2 linked regions of the Mus musculus genome follow. The protein of the gene in region 1 binds, or shares a complex with, the protein of each later gene. Links are inferred from orthologs where the notes say so. Each region holds a gene or a part of one and is shown on either strand. Other genes may lie near its edges. The genes, in order: Smad7 and Smurf2.

Region 1 (4,533 bases):
TGCCATCCAGTAATTACTGCTTACGTGCCCCTCTCTGTCCGGTCCTGCTGATGGTCCTATACTGTTGTCTTCCTTCCACAACGTAGGGCTCCCTAGGGAGAGAATCATGTGATAGAACTTGTTGGTTTTCTTTTCTAGTTGTAAGAGTTTAGTGTGGAAGGGGAATGGTCAGAGAACCTAATTCAAAATGATGATTCCTAGTTAGTGTTGCTAGTCACTGAATCCAGGGTCTCTAAGGAATTATACCCCCAGCCCTCTAAATGTGTGTCAATTATCTATCAGGTTAGAAACAAACGTTACTGGAAAGAAAGGGTATTTATAATTTATCTTTTCCAGAACATATCATTCCAGTGGCAAGAAATAAATATTATATTCCACATCTGGTAAAAAAAAATTCTTTTACCCCCCCCCCCCCCCGTAAGTTTCATGACTGTCCTAATGTTACAATTTCAAGCAACTTTTCAAAAACCTACTAAATATGTCAGGTTGGATCACCATGCCAACTAGTTGTCTCAGTAACATTTAACACTCTAGTACTATCCTCAGACCTGCTCCACGGACTTTTGCTTGACAAATACCTTTTCTACTTCCTAGCAATCACTTGCATCTGGGGATAGCTTTCTCTGGAACCTATGGTGAAGGAATAAACTCTCTGACCCTAAGCAGGCCCCGCATGCGATTGGATGCTCTAAGCAGGTCTGCTGGCTGGGCAAGGTTAGCGCGCCGGGAGGCCGAGTGGCGGGTGCCGGAGGTCTTCCAGGCCGGGAGGAAACCTGCCGGCGGCGCGCGGGCGAGCTGCACCCCTCCTCCCTCCAGGATGCTGCCCCTCGCTGCTCGTCAGCCTGCCAAATGCATTCCAGAGCTGTGCACAAGACACACTTCTCCAGGCAGTCCTAGAAACCCGAGCCCGGAGCGGGAGAGGGCGGGAGGGAGCGCGGCGGCCGCTGAGGTCACATTCGCGCCGCCTCTCCGCCCTCGGCCGCCCGGCTGTTCCCTCTAGCGCACACTTCCCAGGGCCTCCGTCCTGGCCGGTGTAAATGTCTTTGAAACAGACAGCGATCTCCTCCCCTTTCCAAGGGATCCGCCGCCAGGGCCTTAAAACAAAACGAATGAATGAAGCGCCCGGGCGAGCTCTGCTGGTCTAAATCGGGCCACTAACCGGCTCATTCCGCTCCAAACTCGCCCGCTCCATGCCCCCAGCTCTTCCGATTTCCCCCTGCTCCCGCTGGGTCTCCGCCGACCCCCGGGGCCGTCTCGGCCTCCCACCTCCCTCCACCGTGGGTACCCCTCTCTAGACCTGGGAGAGGGTGGCAGTAACTGGGAGGGGGGTTGAAATAGCTTTTAGAAACCCGATCTGTTGTTTGCGAAACACAATCGCTTTTTTTTTTTTTTAAAGCGACAGGGTGTCTAGACGGCCACGTGACGAGGCCGGAGCCGGGCGCGCCACTGCGCAGTGGAACCAGCCGAGCAGAGGGACGGGTGGGGGGGCGGGAAGGAGGCGGCGGCGGCTGGGGGCGGGGGAGGGAGGGGTAGAGGGGGGAGGGAAGGGGGCGGAGGCGGGAGGCCTTGCGGGAGGCGGCGAGCCCTGGGCACATTCGCTCGCTGATCGGCGCACAGAGGATCTTGTCCCCGAGCTGCGCCAGCAGAGCCAGCCGGGCGCCTCGCTCGGTCCGCTCGCCGCGCCGGAGAGAGCTGCCTGAGACGCAGCCAGCCAGCCAGCCGGCGCCACGCCGCCGAGCGCTCGGCCCCGGAGTCCCTGAGTGCGGCGCGGCGAGCCCCCAGCGGCGGCAGAAGGACTCGAGCGCCAGGAGAGGGCGGACGGGGGACGAGGAGGCTCCGGGGCGCGACGAAGAGAGTCTCCGAGGAAGAGGCTGCGAGAGGACACCCGGGCCTCCTGCCGCCACTGTCGGGTCGGGGCCAGCAGCTCATGAGAGCAGCCCCGGCGGCCACCCGCGGCCAGGAGAAGGAGCACCGGAGGCCCCCACACTAGCCTGTGCCCTCGGGGGCGAGAGCTTGCGACCCGCCGGAGCCCGCCGCCGCGCCGCCCTCCCCCGCGCTGACAGCCCCCCGGGGCGCAGCCGCCGCCGCAGCATCTTCTGTCCCTGCTTCCCCAGCGCGGAGGAAGTCCCCGCCGAGGACCTGGGCCCCCGGGAACGCAGGAGGAAAGACCAGAGACTCTAAAACACCCAGATACGCAAGATTGAAGCAGCCTAGCCAGACCTTTCTGTGGATTAAAAGAAATACGATTTTTTTTTTTTTTTTGGCAGAAGAAAAGGAAAGGAAGACCGGCTGGGTTCAGCAAGGAAAAAAAGGGGGATGTAACTCGTGGATACGGTTTTTTTCCCCCACCCTTCCAACATCTTGTTTTACTTTGTAAACATTTTCTCTTTTAAACCCGGGCTCCATCCGGTGCCCTCCAGACCTCCGAGGTGCGAGGAGGTGGTGTGTTTTTTCATTGGGGGCTTTGCATATTTTGGTTTTGGGGGTTTTGAGAGACCCTCCAGACATCTCACGAGGGGTGAAGTCTACTCGGTCCCCTCCCTCAAGTCTTCGCGTGCACAGAATTCGAGGAGATCCGGTTACTAAGGATATAGAAGAAAAAAAATAAATCGTGCCTGCCTTTTTTTTTTAATTGCCTGCTTCTCCCCACCCCCAAATTAAGTTGCTTAGCAAGGGGGAAAGAGGCTTTTTCCTCCCTTTAGTAGCTCAGCCTAACGTCTTTCGTTTTTTTTTTTTTTTTTTTGCCCCCGAGGATCTTCCATGTAGGAAGCCGAGGCTGGCGAGCCCGACACTCGGGAGCCACTGTAGGGGGGCCTTTTTTGGGGGAGGCGTCTACCGGGGTTGCCTCGGCCGCCCCCAGGGAAGCGGCGGCCGCGTTCCTCCAGGGCACGCCGGGGCCCGAAAGCCGCGCAGGGCGCGGGCCGCGCCGGGTGGGGCAGCCGAAGCGCAGCCCCCCGATCCCCGGCAGGCGCCCCTGGGCCCCCGCGCGCGCCCCGGCCTCTGGGAGACTGGCGCATGCCACGGAGCGCCCCTCGGGCCGCCGCCGCTTCTGCCCGGGCCCCTGCTGTTGCTGCTGTCGCCTGCGCCTGCTGCCCCAACTCGGCGCCCGACTTCTTCATGGTGTGCGGAGGTCATGTTCGCTCCTTAGCCGGCAAACGACTTTTCTCCTCGCCTCCTCGCCCCGCATGTTCAGGACCAAACGATCTGCGCTCGTCCGGCGTCTCTGGAGGAGCCGTGCGCCCGGCGGCGAGGACGAGGAGGAGGGCGTGGGGGGTGGCGGCGGAGGAGGCGAGCTGCGGGGAGAAGGGGCGACGGACGGCCGGGCTTATGGGGCTGGTGGCGGCGGTGCGGGCAGGGCTGGCTGCTGCCTGGGCAAGGCAGTCCGAGGTGCCAAAGGTCACCACCATCCCCATCCCCCAACCTCGGGTGCCGGGGCGGCCGGGGGCGCCGAGGCGGATCTGAAGGCGCTCACGCACTCGGTGCTCAAGAAACTCAAGGAGCGGCAGCTGGAGCTGCTGCTTCAGGCCGTGGAGTCCCGCGGCGGTACGCGCACCGCGTGCCTCCTGCTGCCCGGCCGCCTGGACTGCAGGCTGGGCCCGGGGGCGCCCGCCAGCGCGCAGCCCGCGCAGCCGCCCTCGTCCTACTCGCTCCCCCTCCTGCTGTGCAAAGTGTTCAGGTGGCCGGATCTCAGGCATTCCTCGGAAGTCAAGAGGCTGTGTTGCTGTGAATCTTACGGGAAGATCAACCCCGAGCTGGTGTGCTGCAACCCCCATCACCTTAGTCGACTCTGTGAACTAGGTAAGAAGTTGTTCTGAGTCCACCTTTCGTTCCCTCTGGCGTGGAAATGCTCGAGGATGTGTGTATAACCTCCTGGAGGAGACAAGGAATCTAAGTCAGAGAAGGGACCAGGGGAAGCTTGGGGTTCCCTCTAAGATTTTTCTCTATTGCACCCCACCCCCCCACCCCCCGCCTCCAGAGGAGGGGACCCAGGGTTACTACTGCTTATCCTTCTACTGAATAGACATGCTGCAGAAAATGAGACAGTCTAATTTCCGGGTCTGCAAGGGGGTACAGAGTAAAGTGGGGAATCCGGCTTCCCCCGCACCCGGAAAGGCGATGAGGTGTGTGGCCGAGTTGGATTCGACCCAAGCCCGCCAAGGAAGGCTGGGAGAAACTAGCTTTAAAGGCTGGAAAGTCTCTCCTTTAGTAAATAAGGACAGTCACGTGGGACACGAGTGGCCCAGATACTGTCCTGGCCTCACAGCTTTGGAGTTTGGGGGCAGTGGTAGGATGGAGACTGAACTGGGTATCCAGTCTCAGCTGTGCGAGCTTCGGGGTGAGAAGGAACAGCTTGGAGAAGTTGGGTGGCCTCGACTTTTAATCTTTATTTCGCACAGAAAAGCATACAGTTAGTGGTCCTTAGGGTGTCCGACACTCCCACCCCCTGAGTTTCGGTGATGTTCTTCCCTGCTCCATAATTGGCCTGGGCTTCATGGCTGGGACCCTGAGCAGGTTCCTCCCCGTGCTATCCTG
Region 2 (4,381 bases), on another chromosome or scaffold:
TAAGCACTTAGTATTTCTTGATTGAATTTTTAGAGCTGTCCCTTGTATTTTAAGTCTTACTGCTAGAACTTATGATTTTGGGATCACTTTAATCCGTAGGAGTGTTTTTAGACCGATGAAACGCTCTTGGATTTCACCTGGAGAATGAAGTGTCTTAACTGGTAGATTTTAAGTCACCATTTGCAATGTTTTAGGATTAAAATGTATTAGGCTTCAATGAACAGTTTAAACGGCATTAATGTTATAACAGCTTTAAAGCAAAGCTAACATGGATATAAATCCACACTCTTTTTTTTTTTTTTTTTTGGTTTTTTGAGACAGGGTTTCTCCGTGTAGCGCTGGCTGTCCTGGAACTCACTTTGTAGACCAGGCTGGCCTCGAACTCAGAAATCCACCTGCCTCTGCCTCCCAAGGCATGCGCCACCACTGCCCGGCACAAATCCACACTCTTATCCTTAGTTTGCATTATTACTCTTGCGTGCACATAAAACTTGTATTCTCCATTTAAACCCTGCATTACATATAAAGTCTGACATGTTACATGGCTACCACAATTGCCATTTAGATGGCTGCATAAAAATGTGTTGCAGTTGATGTAATACAATTCACTATTAGGCTGCACTCTCACCCCAACCTTGCAAAACAAAATCCCAAAACAACCTGCATTATTTATTTGTCCAGAATAAGTTCTTATTAGTTGTAAGTCACCGCGTCAGAGTTACAGTCCTATTCATTTTCTTTTTTCCTCCTGGGACAGCAAAATACAGTACTGCGTGAGCTTTCCACACTATATCCACCTATCTTGTTCACAGTCTTTGGCCGCATTTGTATTATCTCCCTATGCTTGTCCTGGGCAGGGTTGGGGGAAGAATCGAGCAGGTAGGTAACCGGATATGGAGCACCAGGTGAGCCTGTGGAGGTGGCAATTACAATACTCAGAGCTAAGCACTCCTGGGAATTTGCTGGAGCGTTCGATGTGGGAATAGCATCTTGGCGAATTAATTCTTCGGACTTGGGTCTAACTTTACTCTCGCCAGCCTCTCAGAGCGCGCAGTGGGAGTATTACTCGGGCATTCTGCCCTGTAGGGACACAGGCGATCTTTCAGTGAGCTAGCTGGTCAGTAGGCCCCTCTGGTGCCATCGAGCCGGCGCCGCCGGGCGGTGTAGTTCGGGGCCCAGTCTGGGCCGTGGCGCACGCGCTGCCCGCAGCTCGCGCGGAGCCAGGCCTTCCTCTGGCGCCCCAGGCGCAGGAGACCTCGCCCACAAGCCCGCCCCCTCGCCGGCCCCGCCCACCGCAACCCCGCCCCGCCCGCCGGCCCCGCCCCCGTCTCCTCCCCGCCCCCAGGAGCCGACGAGTGGCGGCGGCGGCGGCGGCGGCAGCGGCTGCGGCCCCAGGACCGGGTTCTCTCAGACAAGAGGGCGGGCGGAGGAGGAAGCGGCCGAGCACCCGCCCGCCTCAGCAGACTTCGCACCGTCCGCTCCCAGGCCTCGCGGCACCGAGAAGGGGAGACCGAGGCGGACCGCGAGGACAAGAGGCGGCGGGGGCGCGGGGCGGAGGCGGCGCGGCCGGCCGCGGCTGCCGCTTTGTTGTGTGGCCCGGGCCGAGGAAGCAGAAGTGGGAGGAGGGGGGAGCTCTGCGTCCCGCTCCCTCCGCGGCTCATGGCGACGGCGCTCGGCACATCCGGGACCCTCCGGCCCTGGCGGCCGCGGCGCGGGCTGTTCGGACCCCGGCCCCGGCCGCTGTGGTGACTCCTCTGCGCCTCGCCGTCGGCCCAGCCCAGCCCAGTCCGCCCGCCCGCCCGCCGGCCCGCCGGCCGCGAGCGCCGCCGCCGCCGCCGCCGCCACCTCCCCCGCCGCTGGGGACATGTCTAACCCCGGAGGCCGGAGGAACGGGCCCGTCAAGCTGCGCCTGACAGGTGAGCTGGGCGGGCGGCTGTGGCGCCTGTGGGCAAGCAGAGGGCCGGGGTCGCGGTCGGTGGTGGCGTTGGACGGGAATCCGGGCGTGGGAAGGCCTAGTTTAGGGAGTCATTGGAGAACCACTTAGCTGGGGTTGGGAAATTCTTCAGAACGCCCAGTGTGTGGCCCGTGGGTCTCCCGTGGAGGGCGGATTTGAGGTCCTGAAGTCTCGTTTCCTGGGGTCACAGGAGCAGCCCCTGGGCTCCTGCCCAGGTGGGGTCGGGAAAGGGATTACTGAATCCAGTTGCTGACTGCGCGCGGTAAACACTCCTTAAACATGGAGTGAGTGCTTAACGGGAGAGTGCTTGTGTTCCCGGGTTGTTAACTTGGACACCTACCTATGCCCGGCAGTGAAACCTTTACTCTCCAGTGCTGCCAACCTCTGTGGCCAGTGCCACACACCTTAAACGCACGTCTCTGGGAGGGAGGGACCGAGACTGTGGTTGGCTTTTCCGGCGTGTCTGCCTGATCCCACGACTCCCGGCTCATTGTACACTCTGTGTTTTGGAAGTTGTTTGATTGTAGGGTAGCATGTTTGGGGTTGTTCCTTGTAGGCCGCAGAACTAGTTGCTCATGTCTTAACTCCAGACCTGGTTTAGAATCCCTTGCTTTGCAATGTGTTTCTCAGTCTGGACGCATACGAACTTTTAAGCTAACTTTCACTAGTCCTCTCCACACTTCTCACCCTCTTTCTAAATGGAAAGGAATGCTCAGAGGGATTTGGGAAAGACTGTTTAATGTTCCCAGCTGCAGGGAGTTGTTAACATATTACAGGTATAATTTGCTTACGATGCCACTTCTGATATTCTTCCGTGGTCAACGTCCCCCTCCTTTTAAGGAAAAATTGCGTTTGGTTTAAAGCGTGTAATTGAAACTATTGTCCCTCTGCTAGCTAGTCACGTCATTCACAGCAAGTAAATTGTCCACATTTATATTCAGATGTGTGGTGAAGAAGACGGCATTTTGTAGTTGGTTCATATGCATTTGCGCCAGCGAAGGATAAGCTGTAATTATGTTTGCCCACACTAAACTTTGAGATTTCTGTGGGTGAACTTTGTAGTTGAATGTTTGTGTGTTAACCGGCAGTCCATCGGCTGTACTTTCTAGGTAGCTTGAAGTGAATTTGGTATTTGAGAACTTAGTTGGAATGTATGTTGGCTACAGAGTAAAATACTTTACTTTTGAGGCTGAAGAGATGGCACAGTAGTTAAATGTATCCTGTTCTCTAAGAGGACCTGAGTTCTAGTCGCAACACCCCAACCCAGGTCCTCGGCTCACTATCACCTGTAACTCTAGCTCCAGGGGATCTGATGCATCTGGCCTCCCACAAGCACCTGCACTTAGGTACACATACCACCTCTATCTCCAGTAATTAAAAAATATACATAGTATTGACCTGGAAGCCTTTTTTTCCCTAGGGAAAATTACAAGGTATTATTAACACTGGGTGGGGGGGGTGCTTTGATTTTCATCTTTATTGTGTTCATTTGGGCGGGGGGAAGTCAGCGGAATACAATTATAAAGGATCCTTGGTGCTCTAGTTTATATATTAATGTTCTTATTAGGCACGCCTTTGTCAATAATTACAGAAAGAAATTGTGAGTGTAGGTGTGCAAAAGCCATCAGAAATGGATGTTATTTATTTCCTTCTGGGATATATATATATATATATACACACACACACACACACACACACATATATACATATACATATATATACACATACACACATATATGTGTATGGGAGAGAAAAGAGGGGTTTGGGTTTTCTTTGGATAAAATGAGTTCTGAGGTGGGCTGGAGAGATGGCTTAGTAAAGAGCACCCTCTGTTCTTCCAAAGGACCCAGATTCAATTCCCAGCACCCAAATTCCAGTTCACAACTGTCTGTAACTCCAGTCCCAAGGGATCTGACACACTCACACCAATGCACATAAAATAAAAATAAATTATTAAAAAATGAGTTCTGAGGTTTTAGTATTTGTCAGACTTTGCGAAAACTATTCACAGGCAAATTTCCCAATAGTTTTAAGAAACAGAGTAGTTCAAATGAACTAAGATGTACTGAAAATGAACTGAGAGTACATTTATGTACTGTGTGTGTGTGTGTGTGTGTGTGTGTGTGTGTGTGATGGCCATGGAACGTGTGTGCTGGATAGGACAAGGTGAGATCTCCTTTTCTATCTTACGAGTCTTCCCAGTCCAACTCAGGTCATCAGGCTGGAGAGGAAATACCCTCCCCCCTCAGCCAGCTCAGTGTTCTGAGGGTTGGTTAGTGTGATTGAGTAGCTCTTATATTTATCTGTCATTTTTTTCCTGCATATGAGAGTTTATACAGATTTATGAGTGACATTTGTGAGGTAAACATTATAACCACCGCACTATGGAAACGTCCCCTCAGTGAAGTTTGAGAGGAAAAAGATCAC

The links.
Region 2: the proteins of Smad7 (region 1) and Smurf2 are in contact, whole or in part, in an NMR structure (PDB 2LTZ), measured with the Homo sapiens proteins. The link is inferred for Mus musculus from reciprocal best matches to the Homo sapiens genes SMAD7 and SMURF2. Residues at the interface, in NP_005895.1 of Homo sapiens: Glu203, Leu204, Glu205, Ser206, Pro207, Pro208, Pro209, Tyr211, Ser212, Arg213, Tyr214, Pro215, Met216, Asp217; in NP_073576.1 of Homo sapiens: Glu304, Arg306, Asn307, Thr308, Ala309, Thr310, Arg312, Tyr314, Val316, Asp317, His318, Arg321, Thr322, Thr323, Gln324, Phe325, Thr326.

The regions. Positions count from the first base shown.
Region 1 is NC_000084.6:75,365,771-75,370,303, forward strand, and holds the start of Smad7 (mothers against decapentaplegic homolog 7), read left to right. Parts: upstream 1-1,594; 5' UTR 1,595-3,185; coding exon 3,186-3,798; intron 3,799-4,533. UniProt on the Homo sapiens protein: Antagonist of signaling by TGF-beta (transforming growth factor) type 1 receptor superfamily members; has been shown to inhibit TGF-beta (Transforming growth factor) and activin signaling by associating with their receptors thus preventing SMAD2 access.
Region 2 is NC_000077.6:106,917,716-106,922,096, reverse strand, and holds the start of Smurf2 (E3 ubiquitin-protein ligase SMURF2), read left to right. Parts: upstream 1-1,381; 5' UTR 1,382-1,864; coding exon 1,865-1,916; intron 1,917-4,381. UniProt on the Homo sapiens protein: E3 ubiquitin-protein ligase which accepts ubiquitin from an E2 ubiquitin-conjugating enzyme in the form of a thioester and then directly transfers the ubiquitin to targeted substrates.